Linked DNA regions of Cricetulus griseus. The protein of the gene in region 3 interacts with the protein of the main gene of each other region in a pairwise test. Links are inferred from orthologs where the notes say so. Each region holds a gene or a part of one and is shown on either strand. Other genes may lie near its edges.

Evidence for each region.
Region 1: the proteins of Tubgcp4 (region 3) and Lztr1 interact in binary tests that used the Homo sapiens proteins (3 or more experiments, as listed by UniProt). The link is inferred for Cricetulus griseus from reciprocal best matches to the Homo sapiens genes TUBGCP4 and LZTR1.
Region 2: the proteins of Tubgcp4 (region 3) and Sdsl interact in a two-hybrid assay, tested with the Homo sapiens proteins (2 studies listed by BioGRID and IntAct). The two-hybrid records come from large-scale screens. The link is inferred for Cricetulus griseus from reciprocal best matches to the Homo sapiens genes TUBGCP4 and SDSL.

The regions. Positions count from the first base shown.
Region 1 is NC_048597.1:71,804,104-71,811,518, forward strand, and holds the start of Lztr1 (leucine-zipper-like transcriptional regulator 1), read right to left. Parts: upstream 4,224-7,415; 5' UTR 3,893-4,223; coding exon 3,693-3,892; intron 3,347-3,692; coding exon 3,284-3,346; intron 859-3,283; coding exon 802-858; intron 1-801. Other genes in the region: Aifm3 (apoptosis-inducing factor 3), read right to left, coding at 5,359-5,398, 6,227-6,331, 6,793-6,868. UniProt on the Homo sapiens protein: Substrate-specific adapter of a BCR (BTB-CUL3-RBX1) E3 ubiquitin-protein ligase complex that mediates ubiquitination of Ras (K-Ras/KRAS, N-Ras/NRAS and H-Ras/HRAS).
Region 2 is NC_048597.1:100,276,564-100,284,081, forward strand, and holds the start of Sdsl (serine dehydratase-like), read right to left. Parts: upstream 4,386-7,518; 5' UTR 4,266-4,385; intron 880-4,265; exon of another isoform or gene 779-879; intron 652-778; exon of another isoform or gene 580-651; intron 442-579; 5' UTR 424-441; coding exon 250-423; intron 76-249; coding exon 36-75; intron 1-35. UniProt on the Homo sapiens protein: Catalyzes the pyridoxal-phosphate-dependent dehydrative deamination of L-threonine and L-serine to ammonia and alpha-ketobutyrate and pyruvate, respectively. Also exhibits racemase activity towards L-glutamate and D-glutamate.
Region 3 is NC_048599.1:57,232,750-57,239,636, forward strand, and holds part of Tubgcp4 (gamma-tubulin complex component 4), read right to left. Parts: intron 4,209-6,887; coding exon 4,158-4,208; intron 3,794-4,157; coding exon 3,688-3,793; intron 2,232-3,687; coding exon 2,124-2,231; intron 1,573-2,123; coding exon 1,431-1,572; intron 1-1,430. UniProt on the Homo sapiens protein: Component of the gamma-tubulin ring complex (gTuRC) which mediates microtubule nucleation.

The DNA.
Region 1 (7,415 bases), on a different chromosome or scaffold from region 3:
TGCTTTTGGCCACGGTGTTCCAGCACAGCAATAGAAACCCCAAGGCAGTGCATGATGCCAAATGAAGCTGCCCTGCCTGGCTGAGTGTCCAGGGCAGTCACAAAAATCTCCAGAGCCCTGCATCCTCCTCTTTCAAAACAGACCCCAACCCAGAAGGCCGCTGGGGACCAAGGGGATGTCCTCCAGACCACCACGAGGTGCTGTGTAGCACTGTGCTCCTGTGTGAGCAGATGATGGAGCTAGCAAGTCCAGTCAACCCCCACCCTCCACTCTAAGCTGCTCCCAGACAGGGACTGCTGCAGGAAACACAATATGTGGCACCCAGAGAGCAGGTAGCCCTTGTACAAGGCCACACAGCTGAGAATGGTTCGCAGGGTTTGCATGCTGCTTAATGCCTATGTGGGGTCTACTGGCAGGCAACTAGTCCTATGAGACAATGGTGGGACAGGAGGCCCTGCTGCCAGCCTGGAGGTGGCACTCTGGGAAAACTAGCTGAGACCTGCCCATGCCCTGTCTGAGATCAGACAGCAACTGCTGGCCTAGGAGAAATTCTGATGATTGAAGGTCCCTCCCAGGTCAGAGTCTAAATACCACCAAGTAGATCAGGCAGACCCCTTTGTTCACAGGATTTAGGATGATTCTCACAGAAAACTGCGAGAAGGAGGGAAGCCATCAAAGGCTGTCCTCTGTTACATTTCTCTCTGGCCCTCCACGATGAGCTGACCCTAACAACCAGTGGACCCAGCACTGTGCTGCTGCTTTCCAGGACGGGCAGGATCCTGGAGCCCAGGGGCCACCCACCTGCACCAGGAGCAGTCCTTCACATCAAATCGCAGGAGGTCGTTGAGCATCGTCTTTCTGAAAAGCAGAAAGAGAGAGGGTGACAGTAGCCAGGCTACTTTGTGGAGGTGTTACCTCACCAGGATCGTAGAGATGGGCAAGGGCATGTACCTAAGGGTAGGAGACAGCAGGAAGGGCTTGGCTCACAGGTCTCTGGACTTGTCCAGAGTCAGACAACCCATCAATGTCCAAAGGACAGAACTAGTGACTAGTGATATGGTCAACTAGGGCTCCCACACTGACAGAGCCAGCCTGATCCCCACCACCAGCAGCCCACTCAAGGCTGATATGAGAGCATGAACCAGCCCAGAGGCTGGAGTCATCACTCACACCTCACCCCAGTCTCCAGAATTCCTACTCCTACATTTAACCCTCCCAAGGCTGCACTACAATGAAATGCTGGCTCAAACATCAGTGGAGACCTGCATGCTTTCCCATCTCCCTGTCACCTGACATAACAACTGCATTAAAGAGAAATCCATTGTCCACTGGATTTCCACTGTCCTGCTTACATTACTGGCATGTTATCAACTCTTGTTAATGTGGAAAAAGAGCAGTGAACCAACAAGACCTCAAGCACCCCCTTCAGGCCAGGCCTTCGCAGGGCATCTCTGCCTTGCTCAGTCTGTGACGGTGGATACCCTCCCTGACTTCATTTTATGGGAGAGGAAGCATAGCCAAACAGCCAGGAAGGCAAAGCTTAGAGGCTGGGATCATGCTTTCCCTCATTTAATCCCCTACTTAAATGTAGGGGCATTTGTTAAAATAATGGGAGGCTACTGTTTTGAACTAAGTACCTATACTAGGCCCCCAAAGACAAACGCCTCATCAACTCAAGCATCAAGGATCAGATGGCCCCAAAACCTAAAAATTTTTCCCCAAAACCAGAGAGTGCAGTCTACCTGGATCTTCATGAGGAAATCCCTGTGGCGGCCCTGAAGAACTCTACCCGAACTGACCTGGCCCCACCTCAACCCCGGGTTTCCTTGCTCCTCCTGCTTTCCAATATGCAAAGTTGCTACTGCCTAGCAAGAACCCTTCTTCCCACTCTGTTGAATGGAGGCTTCCCTGGTTTATCTTAAGTCACAGGCAAGCAGATGCATAATTAAACTTTCTTTTGAAACTGCATACCAAAAACACTTCTGCTTTTCACCACACAGTTGTCTACCTGCTCCAGAAAATGCTAAGGACAGGGATCCTAAGTTCCCACCCACCACCCTATGCTGGACAGTGGTCTTTTGTAGTGTGGGGAATTCTTACTAAGGCTCATCCTCTAACTCACTAAACACGGACTATGACATCTGGGCACTGGTACAGAGAAGTGAGAAGAAAAATGCCTTGGGTAAGTGAATCAGTGTCAACACTTGCCTAATTGGGGGGTAGAGCAAATGGAGCTGGTAAGAGAGGGCACAAAGGCCTCATCCATAAGGAACATTAGAAAGGAAGCCACAAGAGTGTGTCAGGGAAGAAACAACAAATGCAAAGGGCTGGCTGAGAATCAGGAAAACACCATTGTACAGTAGACCTCATACACTCCTGTAAGGACTGAGCTCTACACAAAGAGGTGCCAGGATGTTACGGGGCTATGGGCTGAGGAGGAACATACTCTTGACTTGCAGTTGTAAATGGATCCCCAGCTGCTCTTGAGAAAGAACTATGGAGATGAGATGATGCCAGAAGACCATGGCCAAGTTTGCATGTTCTAATAGAATCCTGAAAACCTCACCTGCTCTAGATCAGCTACCACAGGTAGACTACAGGACCAAGGCTGTAGTCCCCTTGGTTCTGGGTCCGAGAAGAGGGAGTCATTTGCAAACATAACCTTAGCTTAACTTAACAAGTCTGTGTGTGGAGAAAAGTGCTCACCAGAACTGCAAGTCATTTCCAGGAAGAGTATTTTCCAGGAGGTTAAAGCAACACAGGGAAATCTCCACCAGAAGCAAGATATACACAGAATCAATAAAATTTATTTTGGAGGCAGTGAGATGGCTCAGCAAGTGAAGACACTTGCCACCAAGTCTTGCAACCTGGGTTCAATCCCTGGTACCCGAATGGTAGGAGAAAGATGACTCCTGCATGCACCCCCAACACACACATAAACAGATGTAAAAACAACAACAAAACATGTTCTCCATACTTTTGGTTACAAAGCAAGCAAGTGGGCAAAGCCTAGAGGGAAGTGTTGAGAAAGAAGAAAAGTGCCACACAGGGCTGTGTCTACTCATTCAAAACAGTATATTTCCATGTACTGCCATTTGAATGCTGGGGTGAGAAGGCTTTCCAGGCAGGATCTTCTCACCATAACCTGGGAACCAGGTACAAGGCACCTTATAGACAGGGAAACAGAGGTTCACAGGGCATAGCTCATGACTCCCTTCTTAGGCAATAGTCTGTCTCACTGTCATCGTCCACTGCCACCACTCCCATTAACAGGTAAACTCACCCGTTGTCTCCGCCAAACACATAGATGGCATCTTTATATGCCACGACTGTGTGCTTGCTGCGCCTAGAAAGAAAGAAGAGGTGAAGGGGCAGTGAGACTGGGACTCTCCAGGCTGCCACCATGGTGGCTGCCACATAAGTTTGGGTAAAGCCTCTCCACTGCCAAGATCTACAGAGATCTTCAATTCCATTAGATAGGAAGGACGCCTGACACACCGAGGACTCTTCAGACTCCCTACCCAAACTGGACCGTCTGGTACCCTGCTTAGGGTCACTACTGTGCGACTCCCTGGAAATCGACTACCTCCAGGACATCACACGGGGTGTTGCCCCTTAGAACCCATCCTGGGACCTCCTCGGCTCTCGTCGCCACTCCCATTGCCTTCAGGATCTCTTGTACACTGTCGTACCGGGCTCCTACAAATTCGTCGCAGGGCGGGAGGCGCCGCCAGCGATGCACTGTTTCGAAGGGTCCAAAGTTGAGCGTCAGGTACTCGACACTGTCTGAGCAGCTGTGGTCAAAGTCCACACTCGGAGCCACCTTGGAGCGCAAACCTCCTGCCAGGGCCCCGGGCCCGATCTGGGCCCCCGAGCCTCCAGGCCCAGCCATCCTTGGTTCAGGCTGGATGGGCCGCCCGGGTTGCAGGGCTCACGGCCACCGCCCGGGCCGAGCCAAGGGACCACATTTCCCGAAGAGCCCTGCGCCTACGGCGTAGCACGTCCGGCCAGCTTGCACGCTAGGTCCGCCTTCCCAACAAGCCTTGCGTTCTCCGCCACACGGCGGGCTGTCAAGGGTCTGTCAGCGGGATTCCTCACATTATCACGCAGTGCTTCCCATTCTGAAAGCTTTTCTGGCCGAGAATCGGCTCAGGTTTCCACTTTCGGGGAACGCCGTCTGATCAGACCAAGCCTTATAGTCGGTCTTTGTCATCGCCCGGAAGCCACCACCCCCGGAACTCCAGAGTGAGGTTTCCGGCTTGTAGGCGGCTCAACCGTCCACCTTCTGTTTGTACCCCTAAACCTGGTCTTCAGTGCTCCCCTCTCCCTTTGGCGCTTATTGTCTGGAACTTTTGATAGCGGAGAACCTCTGGGTTCTCCGTTCCTGTTCATGAGCAGGATCTTCATTTGTTTCTGCAGTGTGCTTTGAACCCTAGACATGATGGGCAAGCATTGCGCTTAGGCTACACCACAAACCGTATTTTTTACATTGTAGTTTGAGGCCAGTTGAATTAGTTCTTCGCCTGTGAAATAAGGATTCACAAAGTTCAGGCAAAAGGGACACATGAAGTCATGAAAATGAAATCGTAAAGCTAATTGGTTTTCTAGTTTCAACTTTGTTGTATTTTTTTGTGGTAAGTGCTTGTAAACATAAAATAGTAAAAGTGAAGTCACTAGTGGCTTCATAATGGCTATCCTAGCTGTACAAAAGATCATCGAGATATATAGAATTGGACTGGCTAAGTTTTTGAGTGGCTACTGTAATCCAGCTGAGTATTTTTATTTCTGAGTATATAACGATGAGGTGATTTAATGACAGTAACAAAGCAGCTCAGATGGCTGTGAGAAGCATGGAAACTGGCTCAGGACCCAGTTCCTATCTTTCTTAAGTGGGCAAATACAAAAGCTGCCTCTGGCTTCTGAAGCTTTTTAAAAACAAGATCTCATGTAGCTCAGGATGGACTCAAACTCTGCTATTGCAGGTGTGTCACACCATACCTGGCTCTCCCTCGAGTGCTGGCCCAATTACAATGGGACACACATCTGTAGATACATGTGTTTTAATTTTAAGGTAATGTTACAGGCTCTTGCTGGGAAGACAGTCCTAAGAGAGGAAACAGGCAGAGCCTGTCCTGCCTCTAAAACCAGCTGTCAACAACAGCTGAGCCTTGGGAGGGACCATCTTCTGGAGACAGCAGGAGCCTCTTTGGAGGGGAGGCAGACAGTTGAAGGCAAGCCTTGAGAGGACTCAGATTCCACCCTGGGGTATCCTGGGAAATAGGAGATTGGCACTGGCCCCCAGGACTTGGTCTCTGACCTTGGTGCCCAGAGGCCTGCCCAAATCCACCACATGAGAGCTCAGGATCCTCTCCCTGTGAGCCAAGACATGTCACCGGTTCTGCAGGGACGAAATAGTGATGGGTCAGGGCAGAAGAGGGTAGGTTCTCGACTCCAGGCCATGAACAAACATGAAAACAGTAGCGGGGACTGCTATGTGTCAAAGCCTGGTGCTCAGCAGGGGAGTGGACTTGGGCAGGGTAGGAGGATTTGATAATTGGGCTGGGGGAAGAAAAGGCTTAGAACAGTCAACAGAACACACGTACTTGCTGTGTAGCATAAACAGCCTTTGCGAAGGCAAGAGGGAAAAACAGAAGGCCAAAGAAAGCATGTCATTTATGAGGTCTACTCTGGGTCTTGCCTGTTTCCACTCTAGGAGTTACCCCTGTCAGATAGCCTTCAGCCCCTCAGGCACCTCTACCCTGTCCCTAGCTCCTGGAAGTTCTCTATACACAGGGGACTCTTATTGGCACTGTGCTGGGATACAGAATGGCTAGTGTCCAGTGCCTCCCAGATGTCCTATCTCCCACATCCCTGTGTATGGCATATCTGGGAGCACCACTGTTTTCCCCCTCCTAGGCCTAGCACAAATCACATTGGTCAGGAGTCCCAGGCTGGGTTCACTCAAGTAGTGGACTTTGCCTCCATCCCACAGCACTGGCTTCTCTCTGGGGGCACACACCTGTTTCCTTCTGCTCCTGTAATCACAATTTGTCAGCTTCTAAATCGCTAATTCACCCCCCATCCTACCCAGGAGCCATGGGAACTAAAAGTGAGGGGAAAAGCTCTACAGGACTGTGGGTGCAACAGGCTGCCATGGAAGCTTGAGTAAATCCTACCCAGGACACCCACACACACACACCCCCAAACCTCCCACACGGGCACTCACTCAACCTCCCGCTTCCGGATGGTTCGACCTGAGGCCAGCACTTCAGCCACCTTGGATACGATGGGATCGTAGTTCATGCTGGCCACAGCAATCACTTCATCACCTCTATAGAGAGAAGGAGCCTGAACCTGAGGACCACTAGAAATGGTCCTTCTTGGAGATCCCAACACCCTTCTGTCCACCTGAGGTGCTGGGAAGCTGTTGTCCAGGAAAACAGGATGTCCTGAGCACCCAGCCCTCTAATGGTCCCAGAACTGTCAGTTGGCCTAGGAAGCTCCAGCCCTTGGCACGGCGAAGGGATGGTCCCGGCCTCAGCATCGCCTTTTCTCTACTAGCATGCCTTTCCTAGTTGTAGACACCTACCTTGGTTTCAACACTTACCTCAAATCAGAAGACACAGTATTGTTTGACGGTGGAAGGACTGTTACTGCCTCCTGCCCAGCTACCCCTCTTTGCATTCACTTCTCCTCAGCCAAGCCCCCCTCCCCCCGACCCTGCTTTGCTTCTACTGAGCATCCATTCCCAATGCACTCCCACTGTTTCCCATTGTATCCCATTTCTCTCACTTGGTGTAAAAAGCCACAAACTTCAGCTCCTCCAGATCCCCTTGAATGATCACATCGTCGAAGCCTTCTCCGTAGCCTGTGGGAGGGCGCCCATGTGAATTGGGGGAGGATCTACAGAGTCTTTACAGGCTCCCTACCCTGCCCTCCTAACTCCTGCCTAAACAACCCCCACCTTCTATCTCTGTCTTGGTTTTTCCAGACAGGGTTTCTCTGTGCAGCCCTGTATTGGATAGAGCTCACTCTGTAGATCAGGCTGGCCTCAAACTCAGAGATCTGCCTGCCATGGCCTCCTGAGTGCTTGGCCTAAGGCATTTGCCATCATTGGCTCCTACTCTGTGTTTGTGTGTGTGTGTGTGTGTGTGTGTGTGTGTGTGTGTGTGTGTGTGTGTGTGTAGGTCAGAGGGCAGCTTGCAGGAATTGATTCTCTCCTTACACTATGCAGGCCTGGGAAACAAACTCAGATCATGAACATGTTAGCAGAGCCCTACCCACTGAGCAATCTCACCACCCCTCTTCTCCTCAACAGTTCCTAGCCCACCACCCCACCACCAAATTAGCCCCAAATTCCTGATCTTCCTGTTTTAGCCTTCACACAACCACACCTGCACTAAGCCAGCTTGTTT
Region 2 (7,518 bases), on a different chromosome or scaffold from region 3:
AGGACTCCTAGTAAAACCGAGAGGGGCGGGGTCACCTGAGGAGCACACCAGATGCCTGCATCCCCTCATGGCCATCTGGAGAGAGAAAGGATGGAGTCGGGGGTCACTCCAGTCATGGAGGCCTTTTCAGGATGTGGCTGGGTGCTCCATCCACACCCAACACTCCTCTCCCTCTGTCCTGCCCACACTTCCTCCACGGCCCTGTGTGTCCTCACTCCCCTCCCCAGCGCTGTGCTCACCCTCCTTTACCTGCTGACAGAAATGTCCGATGCCCCGGATCTTAAAGGATCCAGCCGGCTGTACATTCTCATATTTGAGGAAGACGGGCATGCCTGCCACCCGAGACAGTGCCCAGCTCTCCAATAAGGGCGTGACCCTGTGGAAAGGCTCTGCCCTGACACGCTCCACCAAGGCTCCCTCCATTCCTGTGGCACAGATGACCTGCAAGGGGACATGCATGGTTCAGATTCCTTAACTATGACAGGGGAAGGGAGATCAAGGCCTCTGAGCCTGGCCACCCCAAATCCAATCCAGCTTCCAAGCTTCAAGTTTCAGGCAAGTGTCTGCCCCTCTCTGGACCTTGGTTTCCCATCTGAACAAGGCAGATTGTCCTGGGTACCCTTCACTTAGTGTCTGTGGCTGTCCATAGTGCTGGAGACACAGAATGTGACCGAAAAGTAATAAAAAAATCATTCAGTCATTCATTCATCATTTTTCCATAAAAAAAATGCTGGTTAAGCACGTGCGAGGGAGGCAGGGCACTTCCCTAGTCACTTACCTTTGCCGTTGGCAGTTTTATGCCCTCTTCCCTGTCATCCGTTCCTAGTTATACAGCCATGGCCTGTATCTCTAAAAGCAAAGATGCTTTTGTTGTAGTTGCTGTTGAGAGATGGGATCTCCATGTGTGACCCAGGCTGGCCTGGAACCCACCATCCTCCTGCCTCCACCTCCTTAGTGTTGGGATTATAATTATGATGTCACACTGGCCAGAAAGCTTTTGTTTTTGATGTACATATGTAGCTTTACAATGATCTACATTTGGTGATGATTTTATGTCACTACATAACAAATTTGAAGCCAGTCAGGGCCACACAAGATCTGTCTCAAAACAAACAAACAAACAAAAAATAAAAAAAAAAAAAGAGGGGGACGGGCTGGAGAGATGGCTCAGCAGTTAAGAGCACATGATGCTCTTGCAAAGGACCCAGGTTCAGTTCCCAGGACCCATATGGTGGCTCACAAACCGGATGTATCTCCCAATCTAGGGAGTCTGATGCCCTCTTGTGGCCATCTTGGGCACAGCTTGCACACAGTGTGCAGGCATATTTGCAGACAAACACATGTACACCTAAAAATAAATTTTAAAAGATTTCAAAGGTGTCTGGCAAGATGGCTCAGCAAATGCTACTTGTCTCATAAGTCTGATGGCCTGGGTTTGATACCCCGGAACCACTTAGGGTGGAAAGAGAGAATCTAGTTCACAGTGTCGTCGTCACACACACACACACACACACTCACACACTCACACTCACACATACACACTCTCACACACTCATACACTCACCCTTATACACACATCCACACTCATGCACTCACACTGATAATAAATACAATTTTTAAAGGGGGGGGGAGGATGACAGATGTGGTAGCACAAGCCTTTGATCCCATCACTCGGGAGGCAGAGGCAGGAAGAGCTATGAATTCCAGGCCAGCCTGGTCTACAAAGGGAGTTATAGGCCAGACAGGAATACAAAAAGAGACCTTGTCTATAAATAAATTTAAAAAAATAAGAAATGAGGGAAGGAATGTTGGAGAAAGGAATAAGCTGGGTTGCTCACACCTGTAATCCCTGCACTCAAACTCAGGAAACCGAGGCAGGAGGATTGAGAGTTCAGGGCCAGCCTGGGCTACAACATGAGTTCAAGGCCAGTCTGGGCTACAAAGTGAGTTCAAGGACATATTATCAGCTATGTATTGAGAAGGCCTTGTTTCAAACCACCAAAGAAAAGGGACAAAAACAGAAATAAAAACTATCCTCATTTTGGTGAGGCCCTTTGCAGTCCCAAGGTCGGCCACCAGGAGGCCCCTCCAGCCCCTTCCAGTCCCCCCACGCCCCAAGCCTGAACCTCTTACCCTCTCTTACTCAAGGGACTCAAATAGGGAACTGGCCCATGAATCTGACCCTTTATCAGGATGGCCCTGGACCTCCCCAGACAAGGCAAAGACAGAGCAGACCCCTTCATCTCTTTCGGCACTTCTCACAGGGAAGGGGGGCCTATGAGCTGTACCTGGTCCCCAGACTCCCTGTGCTGGCTAGTTTTTAGGTCAACTTGACACAAGCTGGAGTCATTTTGGAAGAGGGAACCTCAACTGATAAAATGACCCTATCAGACCGGCCTGTGGGAAAGCTGTTCATGAATTTTCTTGATTGATGATTGATGGGGGGAGGGTGGGGCCACAGTGGGTGGGGCCATCCCTAGGAAGGTGGTCCTGGGTTCTATAAGAAAGCAGGCTGAGCAAGCCATGGTGAGTGAGCCAGTGAGCAGCACCCTTCCCTGGTCTCTGCTTCAGCTCCTGCCTCCAGGTTCCTGCCCTGATTGAGTTCCTGTCCTGACTTCCTTTGATGACAAATAACAATATAAGTGTAAGCCTATTAAACCCTTTCTTCTCCTTAGAACCGTTGGTCTCACAGCAATAGTAATCCTAAGACATCCCTCATAGCCTGGCTTGACCCACACACTCAGTCTTGCAACCCCAGATCACAGGTTTGGGGGCTAACCAGAGATCAAAGTCAAAAAACAGCTGTGTGACTCAAGTAAGTGTCTCAACCAGCCTGGGTCTATTTCTTTTTCTGTAAAATGGGAACAAACACACACTCCAACTCCCAGGCTGTGGTGTGGATGAGCCTCTGGGACACACTGCCATGCTCCAGGCTGAATACTCTAGGCAGATCCCTTCAATGGGACCTTCTACCAATGCTGCCATGTACACCCTATCTTGCATGTCTAGAAAGTACTGTCAAGGTCCAGGCTGGGGCTTGGGACACGAGGATGATACAGTGGGGAAGAGAGATGCCTACTTCAGAGCCAGCTTGTAGTTTGATGAGGAGATCTACTATAAACCAACAAAATAATAGGAAACTGAATATTAAAGATGAGCAAAATGGTCTCCTCTGGGCATGGAACCTTGGACTAGAAAGATGCAAGTGAGCTAAGCATGAACCATGTTGCACACTGGATGCAGTGCTGTACACCATGGGGTCCTTGTAAGGATTAAGTTCAACTGTGAAGTGAAGGTGCCAGCTGTACCCAGTGTGGTTTGATAAGAGCTAACTTGTTGTGTGAGGCTTGCTGGGAACTGGGCACCATGCCCAGCACCTTCCTTATTATCTCAGAATGCACTGAGAAACCCTGACAGAGTCCTGTATTTAACCCCATTTCATAACTAGGGACCCAGAGTGGTTGGTACACAAGGCCACAGGTCAGGAAATGTGGCTCGGAGTACAAACCCAGGTGTGTGCTTCCACACTGTGTGGCATCTTAACTACTGGGCTTTTGGTATCCTCCTTCTCACCACCATCATCATCATTTATTAAAAATGAGACCCTTTGTTACTTCATTGATAATTATCCTTAAGAGCTGAACCTCGACAAGTAACAGTGGCACACACCTTTAATCCCAGAACTTGGGAGGCAGAGGCAAGTGGATGTCTGTGAGTTTGAGGCCAGCCTGGTCTATAGAATAAGTTCCAGAACAGTCAAGGTTACATAGAGAGACCTGACTTGAAAAAATCAAACACAAGCACAAAAGAGAGCTGAAACTCTGTCCGAAGGCCTCTATGTCCCTTTTGGTGACGGCAGCCTCATTGCCATCAGGGTGGGGACCCATCTGAGCCAAGGTCTAGGGACCCCTTGGTCCACTCCTCACTGTGGCAGCTGCTGGGCGGCCTGGGTGAGGCAGTGGAGAGAGAGCCCTGTGACTTCCTTACTGGAACTCACTTATAAGCGCTGTTCACTTTCTCTAGCCCTCATTCCAGCCCTACAGTTCTGGGGTGCTATCCCCAGGGGCCATTTGGGTAGCATACAGCAGCTGAGTTAGGAGAAAGGCTAGAAAGCCAGGCTGACTGCCCCTTCTGCCTGCACAACCTGATTTCCATCCTCAGGGTCCCCAGGGCCCGCCTCCTGGACATGACAGGACAGATGCTACTGGGGTAATAGCCACCCTCACTCCCACAGCCCGCAGCCACTCCCACAATGCCACCCTTACCTTCCCAAAGGACAGTTCCCCAGACCAGCACAGCCTACAGCCCAGCCAGGACCAACCTGGACTCACAGGCCACTAGATCAACTTCCGCCACCAGGGCCTGGCCCCTCCTCCCTGTTAAAGGGACAGTTACTGATTCTGGGGTCCTGGTGAAGACTCACAACAAAAATGACTAATGGGGCTATTCAATCCTCCCCTCCTTCTTCATGCAGCTCACGGCTCATGAATGACCTGGGCTCATCTCACAGATGAGGAAATGGAGGCTCAGAAAGGGAAGCATCCATCCACAGGGGCTGGCCAGCAAGACGTAGAAGGAACCTCTCACCTTGGACTACTTTCATAACACAGCCACCCTAGATCTGACATATGCAGAGCTGTCTTTAGGTCAGGCCACTTTCCCAGGACCACACTTGGGGTCAGCTTAGGTTTGAGACAAGAAAACAAAGATGCAGGGCAGGCATATTGGGTGCATGCCTTTAATGCCAGGAGGCAGAGGCAGGAGGATCTCTGTAAGTTCAAGGTCAGCCTGGTCTATAGACCAAGTTCCAGGACACTCGGGGCTACACAGAGAGACTTTGTCTTAAAAATAAAAAATAATAAAATAAAAGGAAGACAGAAAGAAGACAAGGGGAGCTGGCAGCCATCCTGACATCCTGTCTAGACTGGAAGGGTGACTCTCACGTCAGTCACATTCCCATCTCTGCTGTTTCACAGCCAGCAGAAGAAGCCTGGCTGTTATTTGCTGTTCACAGCAATGGCTGTTCATTCCTTCATGCATTCAATAAATAAATATTTACCAGACACCTACCACCTGCCAAGACCTGAGACCTTTAACCTCAAACAAGATAGCATGTCCCCTGCTCTGTCCCAATGCTCAGGAAGCCGGTGCTGTGGGATGTTGGGAGCCCAGGCAGGTGTGGAGTGGGGGTGGGGGTTGAAAACCACGCTGAGTTCTAGGGTCACAGAAGAACTTAGAAGAGTCCAGAGTGAAGGCTCTGAAGAGACGACTCTGGGTAAATGCTCCCCCATGCAAGTATGAAGACCCAAGGTGGGCTCTCCAGCACCCACGAAGAAGAGTCAGACTCTTGTGTTCCCTCTGTCCCCATCTCACTGAACAACGTTGAGACCCAGGGCCTCATCCATCTTGAGCATCAGTTTCCCTAAATACAAAATGAGAGGCAAGATTCAGGAAGGACCAGGCAACATAGGTGTCCCTTGGGGAAGTGTGACCTCTTGCCCTCTCATGATTGATGATTAACCCCAGGCTACCTGGGGTCAAATGGAGCTGCTTAGCCATGATCTGCAGCTAGGACCCTGCCCAACTCAACTCTGCCCTCACATTAACCCCTCCCCCATCACTATCAAGTACCCATTCTTGCAGAAGGCACTAAGGACCCAAAAAGGACAGAGAGTAGAAGCTCTTGCAATGGCTATAGTGTCAGATATGGAGAAGGCTTCCTGGTGAGAGGAATACCTCAGTTGTAGACAAGAATCTGCACTTATTACATGCCTGTGGTATACCAATAACATATTCTCAAGGCTCTCATGGCCAGCACTGGAGATCGAGCCTAGGACTTTGCACATGTCAGCTAAGCTCTCTACCACAAGCCCCTAAGAATGGAGTCTCTTTAGTTTTTCTTGCAATGGGATCTTGGGTAGTCCAGGCTAGCCTTAAACTTGCTATGTAAACGAAGATGACACTGGACATCTTATCTTCTGGCCTCCACCATCCAAGTGCTAGGATTATAGCTGCACACCCATGCATGGGAATGTACACACACACACACACACACACACACACACACACACACACACACACACACACACACACACACACACACACACACACGGGAGGGGGGAGGGGGGCCACTCTGGCTAAGTTGTTAAGAGCACTTGATACCCTGAAGACTCAAGTTCAGTTCCCAACACATACATCAGGCGGCTCACAACAGCCTGTAACTCCAGCATGTCTGACGCCTCCATGGGTGTCTGCATTCACTTTCACATAACCCCACACACCATGCACACAATTAAAAATAATAAGTCATAGCCAGGCAGTGGTGGCTCACACCTTTAATCCTCAGGAGGCAGAGGAAGGCAGGTCTCTGTGAGTTTGAGGCCAGCCTGGTCTACAGCCAGAGCTACATAGCGAAACCATTTCAAAAATCCAAAATAATAATAATTCCTCTTTTTTTTTTTTTTTGCTTGTTTTGTTTTTTGAGACAGGGTCTCACTATGTAGCCCTGCATGGCTTGGAACTCACTATGTAGACCAAGCTGGCCTTGAACTCACAGAGATCCTCCTGCCTCTGCCTCTGAGTGCTGGATTTCAAGGTGTGTACTACTGTGCTGAACTAAATCTTTTTTTTTTTTTTTTTTTTTTTTGGTTTTTCGAGACAGGGTTTCTCTGTGGCTTTGGAGGCTGTCCTGGAACTAGCTCTTGTAGATCAAGCTGGTCTCAAACTCACAGATTTTATTTTCTAAATCTTTTTTAAAAGAAAAATATTAAGTAATAGTACAAGCCAAATGCTGGCATGCCTGTAATTTCAGCACTCCAGGGACTGAGGCAGGAGGATTGCCATGAATTCAAGACTGTCTCAAAACAAAGCAAACAAACAAAAAGAAAAATAGGGCTGTTGAGATGGTTTGCCAGGTAAGAACACTTGTCACCAAACTGACGGCCTGAGTTCAGTTCCCAGGACCAACATAGTGGAAGGAGAGAACTGATACCAAAAAAATTGAATTCTGACCTCCACATATATGCTGTGGCATGCATGTGTACAAACACACACACACACAGAATAAATAAATGTAATTTTAATTTTTTGTTTGTTTTTCAAGACAGGATTTCTCTGTGTAGCTTTGGAGCCTATCCTGGCACTCGTTCTGTAGACCAGGCTGGCCTCGAACTCACAGAGATCCACCTGCCTCTGCTTCCTGAGTGCTGGGACTAAAGGTATGCGCCACCAACACCCGGCTAATTTTAAATTTTTTAATGAAAACAGAGAATGAAAGAAAGCAGAATAGGCACAGGGCTCCTATGGAGGAGGTCGTGCAATCAGTATCTAGAACACAGATCATGGAGCAGGGCTCTGCTGCGCATAGTAGCAACACCACCTCCTGGCTGAGGAACCCTAGGCAGGACACCCAACCTCTCTGTGCCTTGTTTGCACTGCTGTGGGGAGGGACACAAGGCTCCTGTCCGGTAGAGCAGAGCCTGGGGCCTACAGCTGGTGCTCTGTTGTCATTCCTATGGC
Region 3 (6,887 bases):
AAGGGTCCCAAGTAAATTAACATCATCAACAACAAATCATAAAAATCAGGGGTAACTTCTAAGGACTGATGGAATAGGCAAGTGCTAGAACTCAGTGTGTTACCTGAGACTTCATATTTGAGACTACAAACTAATCTACAAATAATAAGCCTACAATTGCTTATTACTTGTCAGTTAAAAAGAGAAATCTGGGCCAGTCATGGTAGTGTATACCTTTAATCTCAGTGCTTGGGGAACAGACAAGCAGACCTCTGAATTTGAGGCCAGCCTGGTCTACAAAGTGAGTTCCAGGACAGCCAGGGTTACATATAGAAACCCTGTCTCAAAGTCTGGGGGCGAGAGATGGCTCAGTGGTTAAGAGCACTTGTGGCTCTTTTAGAGACCGGATTTAGTTGCTAGCACTGATACTGAGTGCCTCACAATTGTACCATCTCCAGTTCTGGCCTCCATGGGAACCAGCATGCATATGCACAAACAAAGACACATTACAAAAAAAAAAAAAATCTTAAAGGTGTCATTTTGTGTGAGTGAATGCAGGTGGGCATATGCCCTGGCAATCATGTGAATGCCAAATTAGACATCCCCCTACACCTTGGTTTGAGACAGGGTATTTTTGCTGCTTGCCTCTGTTTATGTTAAACTGGCTTGCTTGTGTACTTACTGATACTCCCCTGTCTCTTCCTCCTATCTCATAGCAGAAATTCTGGGACTACAGGCATGGACACACGCTTCATTGGGGATCTGAACTTTGGTCTTCACCTTTATTCATAGTCTTTTCTCCAGCCTAGTCTGATGATTCTAAGTGGCTATATGCCTTCCCATTCATTCAAGTCCTTACCATTCCCTATTGTTTCATGGCTGTCACTTCACTTATTAATGTGAGCTGCTTGTTTGTTTTTGTTTTTTGGTCAACTTGACACAAGCTGGAGTTACCTAGGAAGAAGGAGCTTTAGTTAAGGAACTGCCTTCATTGGATTTCCCTGGGCAAACCTGTGGAGTATTTTCTTCTTGACTGATGATTGATGTGGGTGACACCACACCTGGACAGGTGGGTCTGGGATGTGTAAGAAAGAAAACTGAGCAAACAGGAGTAAGCCAGTAAGAAGCATTCCTCTGTGGTTTCTGCCTCTGTTCCTGCATGGATTTCTACACTGACTTCCCTCAATGAAGAACTGTTATCTAGATATATACACCAAATAAGTCCTTTCTTCCCACATAGCTTTTCATCATAATCTTTTTCATAGCAACAGAAAACAAACTAGAACCCCTGTGTAGGCTCCTGCAGACGGGTGAGTCTGCAACCTCTAGCTTAACCAGTATAGAAACCAGCTGGATGACAGGTTGCTTCCGCCAATCGTATCTGTTCACTTACTGCTTCCTTTGGATGTAAGGTGGGTAATACTTACTGGGAGAAACTCACAACTACTCACTTTTCCAAGACAGCTGGGGTGAAGAGAATATGCAGTGGCCACTGTACTTTGTAGGAGAGACCTAGAGCAGCCCACCCGGAAGCAGGGGCTTCCCGGGGGGACGTTTCCCGAGAAGGCCCTTCTCTTGGCTGGGTGGCATCTGCTATGGATAAGAAGATAATGAAAAATAACTTGGTTAATTAGAACCAGAGAGAGCAAGATGAACTGCACACATCAAATGAGACACCAGTGGTGCTAAACAGCAGCATTGAGAGGCAACAGAAGTAAAGGGGAGGAACCTCCTGTGAGGGCTTTGCTGAGAGGAATCTTAAACAAAAATACAGATGTGATTTCAAAAACCTGTGGACAGAGCACCTGAACCTTTCTGGAATTGTGTTCTTGTACAAAATTAGAGAACTAGGGGCTGGAGAGATGGCTCAGAGGATAAGAGCACTGGCTGCTCTTCCAGAGGTCCTGAGTTCAATTCCCAGCAACCACATGGTGGCTCACAACCATCTGTAATGAGATCTGTGCCCTCTCTGACCTACCGACCTACATATAGGCAGAACACTGTATACATAATAAATTAATAAATCTTAAAAAAAAATTAGAGAACTAGATTAGGTGATCCCTAAGGTCCAAACTACAGTTTCTGTGAAGGGAAATTATGAAAACAAGAAGATGCAGCGAGGAGGCAATAGGAGACTAACAAACCTTTGTGGTCCTTTCCATGATACTCAATTGTCAAGTGCAACAGAGGGAGAAGGTTGTCATCATCTAGCAGCACCTTGTGTGCGGACTGTTGAAAGGCCACATTCACATCTGCCAGAAAGAGCACAGGAAAGCAACAGTAGGGCTCAGCTAGGGCCAGGACATATGTGACTTCTGTCTGTCCAGCATTAATTTCTCCTTGTCCTTATTAACAATAATAAGAGAATCACCCCTGATCAGTACAATTCCTGTAGTGTCAGCGGGGTTGGCAATACCCAATTCTTGGGAAGGCAGCATGATCAATGGGTCATGACAGCTGACCTTTTGGTTGTTTTATTTATAGACTTGCTCTAATTCAGGCCAACCCAGAGGCTCTCTTCAGACTTTGAAAAAATGTAGTTCTTCAGTTTTAGAAACATAAATCTGGCAAGAGCAGTGGTTGGGGATTGAACAACCCTTTCACAGAGGTTGCAAATAAGATATCCTGTATATCAGATATGGACATCATGACTCATAACAGTAGCAAAATTAGTAATGAAGTAGCAACAAAAATAATTTTATGATTGGGCGTCACATCATTAGGAATGTTGAAAACCACTGGATAGAGCCTACCCTGCCTGCTAAGAAGACAAAGATAATTAGGTTTTACCCAAAACCATCACATATGAGATTATGAGAATAAAATCTATCCTTTTTATTTATTTGCTTAAGTGAGTCTGAACTGGCTTTTCTGGTATCTGTAACAAAAAAGCACAGTAGTTATCTATTGTCTCATTAAACTATAAAAACAAACCTCTCCATTTCCCTCCCATTTTCTTTTTCTTGGCTTGGATCCTTACTACATTCTCTTCTTGTGTCTGGGTGGAGGCAGCCATTAACTGGCCAAGGGGAAGACACTTTGCTGAACGAGACATATCCTAACACCTCACTTCACTGTTACAGTGATAGCCATGTGACATGGGGAGGGCCAAATAAAACTAAGCACTTCACTAGACTTCTTTAATTTGCTGCTAGAAACCAGGCTAGGCTGTTTTGTGTATGTGTGTGTTGGGGGGGGGCATCAAAGGTAAGGAAAAAAGTCTTAACAGTACTGAAGACCTTTGCTTTACTTGTCCTGACAGCCAGTAATACCCCAAGCACAAGAGAGTTATAGCTATAACTAGGCTTTCCCAGGCTGGGTTTCCATTTTTGTTTGTTTTTTGTTTTTTGAGACAGGGTTTCTCTGTAGCTTTGAAGCCTGTCCTGGAACTTGCTCTGTAGTCCATGCTGGCTTCCAACTCCCAAAGGCTGGGATTAAAGGCAAGCACCACCACCACCCGGCTTCCATTATTATTTATAAGATAAAAATAGGGTGTGATGGCTAGAGCACTGATAGTTAAGAGCACTGGCTGCTTTTTCAGAGGACCGAGGTTCCCTTCCACACACCCACATGGCAGCTCATAAACTTGTGACTCAAGTTCTCATTCTTCTGGCCTGTGCAGGCAAACATACAATGTACAACACATCAGCCAAGAAACACCCAGCAACTTGAGCAAGCTGTTTATTCTCAGGGCCATAGGACAATTACCATGCTCTGTTACTGCAGTGGGTGGTGTTTTTAACATGTGTTGAGCTGTGTCAATGAAGGCCTGGAACAGTTCTCCTCGTCCCAGAAGGTAAAAGTCTTTAATGATCTGAGGAAAGAATTTCAATGTACAGTTCAGTAAATCAGAACAGAATTTCAATGTACAGTTCAGTAAATCAGAGCCTTGAGGCCTTTACTACCCGAGAGAATTAGATACATAGGGGCTGATGCTATCAGTCTGAAAGACACAGGCTTAGTATTTTAAAGATGATTACAGAGCAGCCATTCAAAACAGGAGGACTCTATGTATTTGATGGCATTTAGATCACAACAGAAGAAAGTAAACTTGAATCTTCAGGATTCAGAAGATTTGTAGCATCAAATATAATTTCCTTGCCCGAGTAAGAACAATGAGTCTAGGCAAGAGTGTTTTCCACAGTTATCCCAAGATTTAAAAGAATATCACTTATTACCTTCAGCTGACCCAGTAAGTCTGATTCCTCTACCATTAGCTTCCAGAGGTGCTGTGATAAGAGTAAAAAAACAAACAAAAAATCTTAAGTTCATTACAGAGACCCAAAGTTCAGCTAGCCCTAGGAATGAACAGATACATCAAAACAAAAACCTATGCAGGATAAAAATGTCCTGAAATTAACAGTAAAGCTGCGCAAACAACTGTGAAATTAAAAACCACTGGATTAAATACAATTTTTATTTTTATATTTTATTTTATTTTGGTTTTTCAAGACAGTGTTTCCTGTGTAGCTCTGACTGTGCTGAAACTCACTTTGTAGACCGGGCTGGCTTTGAACTCACAGAGATCCCCCCATGTCTCTGCCTCCTGAGTGCTGGGATCAAAGGTGTGTGCCACCACCACCCACTTGGCTTACTGGTGATTTATAAAAAGTAAACAAGCTAGGCTTGGTGGCACATGCCTGTCATCCCAGTACTGGGAGACTATCTCAGGAAGATGACCAAGTTCCAGGCCAACCTTGTTTATGCCACAAAATCCTTTTTTTTTTTTTAAGGACTAAAGAGATGGCTTAGCAGTTAAGAACACTGATGCTCTTCCAGTGGACATGGGTGTTTGATTTCCAATACCCACTCATAACCATCTGTAACTCCTGTTCCAGAGAATCTGGCACCCTCATCTGGCCTCTAAGGACACCAGGCAGGCATATGATACACATATATACATGCAGGCTTAACACCCATACATGTAAAAAAATATATATACAACTTATACATGCATTGAAATACTATATGAGAGGCTGGAGAGATGGCTCAGTGGTTAAGAGCACTGACTGCTATTCCAGAGGACCAAGGTTCAACTCCCTGCACCCACATGGAACTGTCTATAATTCTGGGACCCAGCGGAAAACACCAATGCACACAATAAAAATAAATTTTAAAAAACCCTGAAATACATGATTTTCCATTTATATATAATTTGTTTTTATGTACAAGTTAGTATGTCTTAATATTTAAATAAGATGAAAGAAAAAGAGAAAGTAAAAATTACCTAAAGAATTTATAAATTAAGGGAAAATAAGAAACAAAAGATAGTTCTAATTAGTTTATTAATCTTAATAAAGCCTATAAAGACAGAACAATAATGAGAAAAACTGGGGCGAGTGAGATGGTTGCGTGAAGAAAGAGCTTGCTAAGCAAGCACAAGGACCCAAGTTCAGATCTCCAGCACATATGCAAAAGCTGGGTAAATGGCTCATGTCTATAGCCCAGTGCTAGAAGACAGCTAGACAAGTAGATACTGGGGACTGACTAACTGGCAAGCTAGTCTAGCCTAAACAGAAAACTCTTGGCTCTCACTGTCCTAAAAATAAGATGGAGAGTAAAAACAAGATAACAGAAGGTGATCTCTGGGGCCCATGTGTGTGTGCACACATGCACGCAACAGAAATACATATACCACAAACACACAAAATGTTTAAAACACAAAATTTAAGTAAACAAAACATAATTTCAGACAAGTAAGTATTTAAAAAATTAAATCTATCTGAAACAGTTAAGTTCTGCAGAGTACCCAAATTGTTACATATTGCTGCCATGCGGACCAGCTTTCAGCAGCTCAGGGATTGAGAGAGATCCACTGAGCTGGTGAACTAATCACTCAACTTGACTTTTCTATCTGAGGGAGTAAAACAGTTCTCTGGGGCAGGCTCAAATGGGAAACATGCACACACGCACGCAAGCACAAGCACACACATACAACAAGCATGTCAGGACTTCACCTAGTGTGCTGATGAATGGCAAGCCTTCAGCAGGTCAGAGAAACTAAAGAGGAAATGCAAAGCAGGTGAACTACTGGACAGACAGACACATGAGGACTTTTCTGCAGGCCAAGGCTTAGTTCTTATTATTTTTTTTTTGTTGCTTGTTCTACTACTCTTTTTCTGTTTTGTTCTTCTACACTGATGTATCCCTTCTGTCTCTCTTGATTTCTTCCTTCTAGCTAACTTTATTTCCCTTACATCTTATATACCCCAGCAAAATCTTTCAAGCAATGTAAAAATTACAATGTCATTACATTCTATTTTCTTTTTTAAAGATTTTATTTATTATGTATACAACATTCTGCTCCCATATATATCTGCACACCAGAAGAGGGCACCAGATCTCATTACAGATGGTTGTGAGCCACCATGTGGTTGCTGAGAATTGAACTCAGGACCTTTGGAAGAGCAGTCGGTGCTCTTAGCCTCTGAGCCATCTCTCCAGCCCCATTACATCCTATTTTCAAGTGAATGATTACAATAAATACAAGTAAAGAACAGCACGTTTTCCATATCCCTTATGTAATTAAACATTTCATGTATTAGAGATGAAAAACAAGTTTCTCAGCCAGTTCTTTTACTGGCAGACTGCATTTTGCAGTTACAAAGAAAGGATCAATCATTTTATTATTTATTTCAAAAGGTAATCTTATAAGAAATCTTAAAAGAATCACAAATCTAAACTTTAATATATGAAACACAGTCAGTTCTACTTGAAGTCCTCGAGGTGCATACCCACTCATTAACAGTTTTTTTTTTTTTTTTTAAATATCCGGAAGCTGAGGGTAGAAATGGGTACAAGGAATTAATAACACTCTTGATCATCAACCCATCCTAGCAAGAAAGGTACATCAGCCAGCAGTAGCCAGGCTGTCATTGTTTTTGTTCCCCGACCTCAACAAGTCCCTC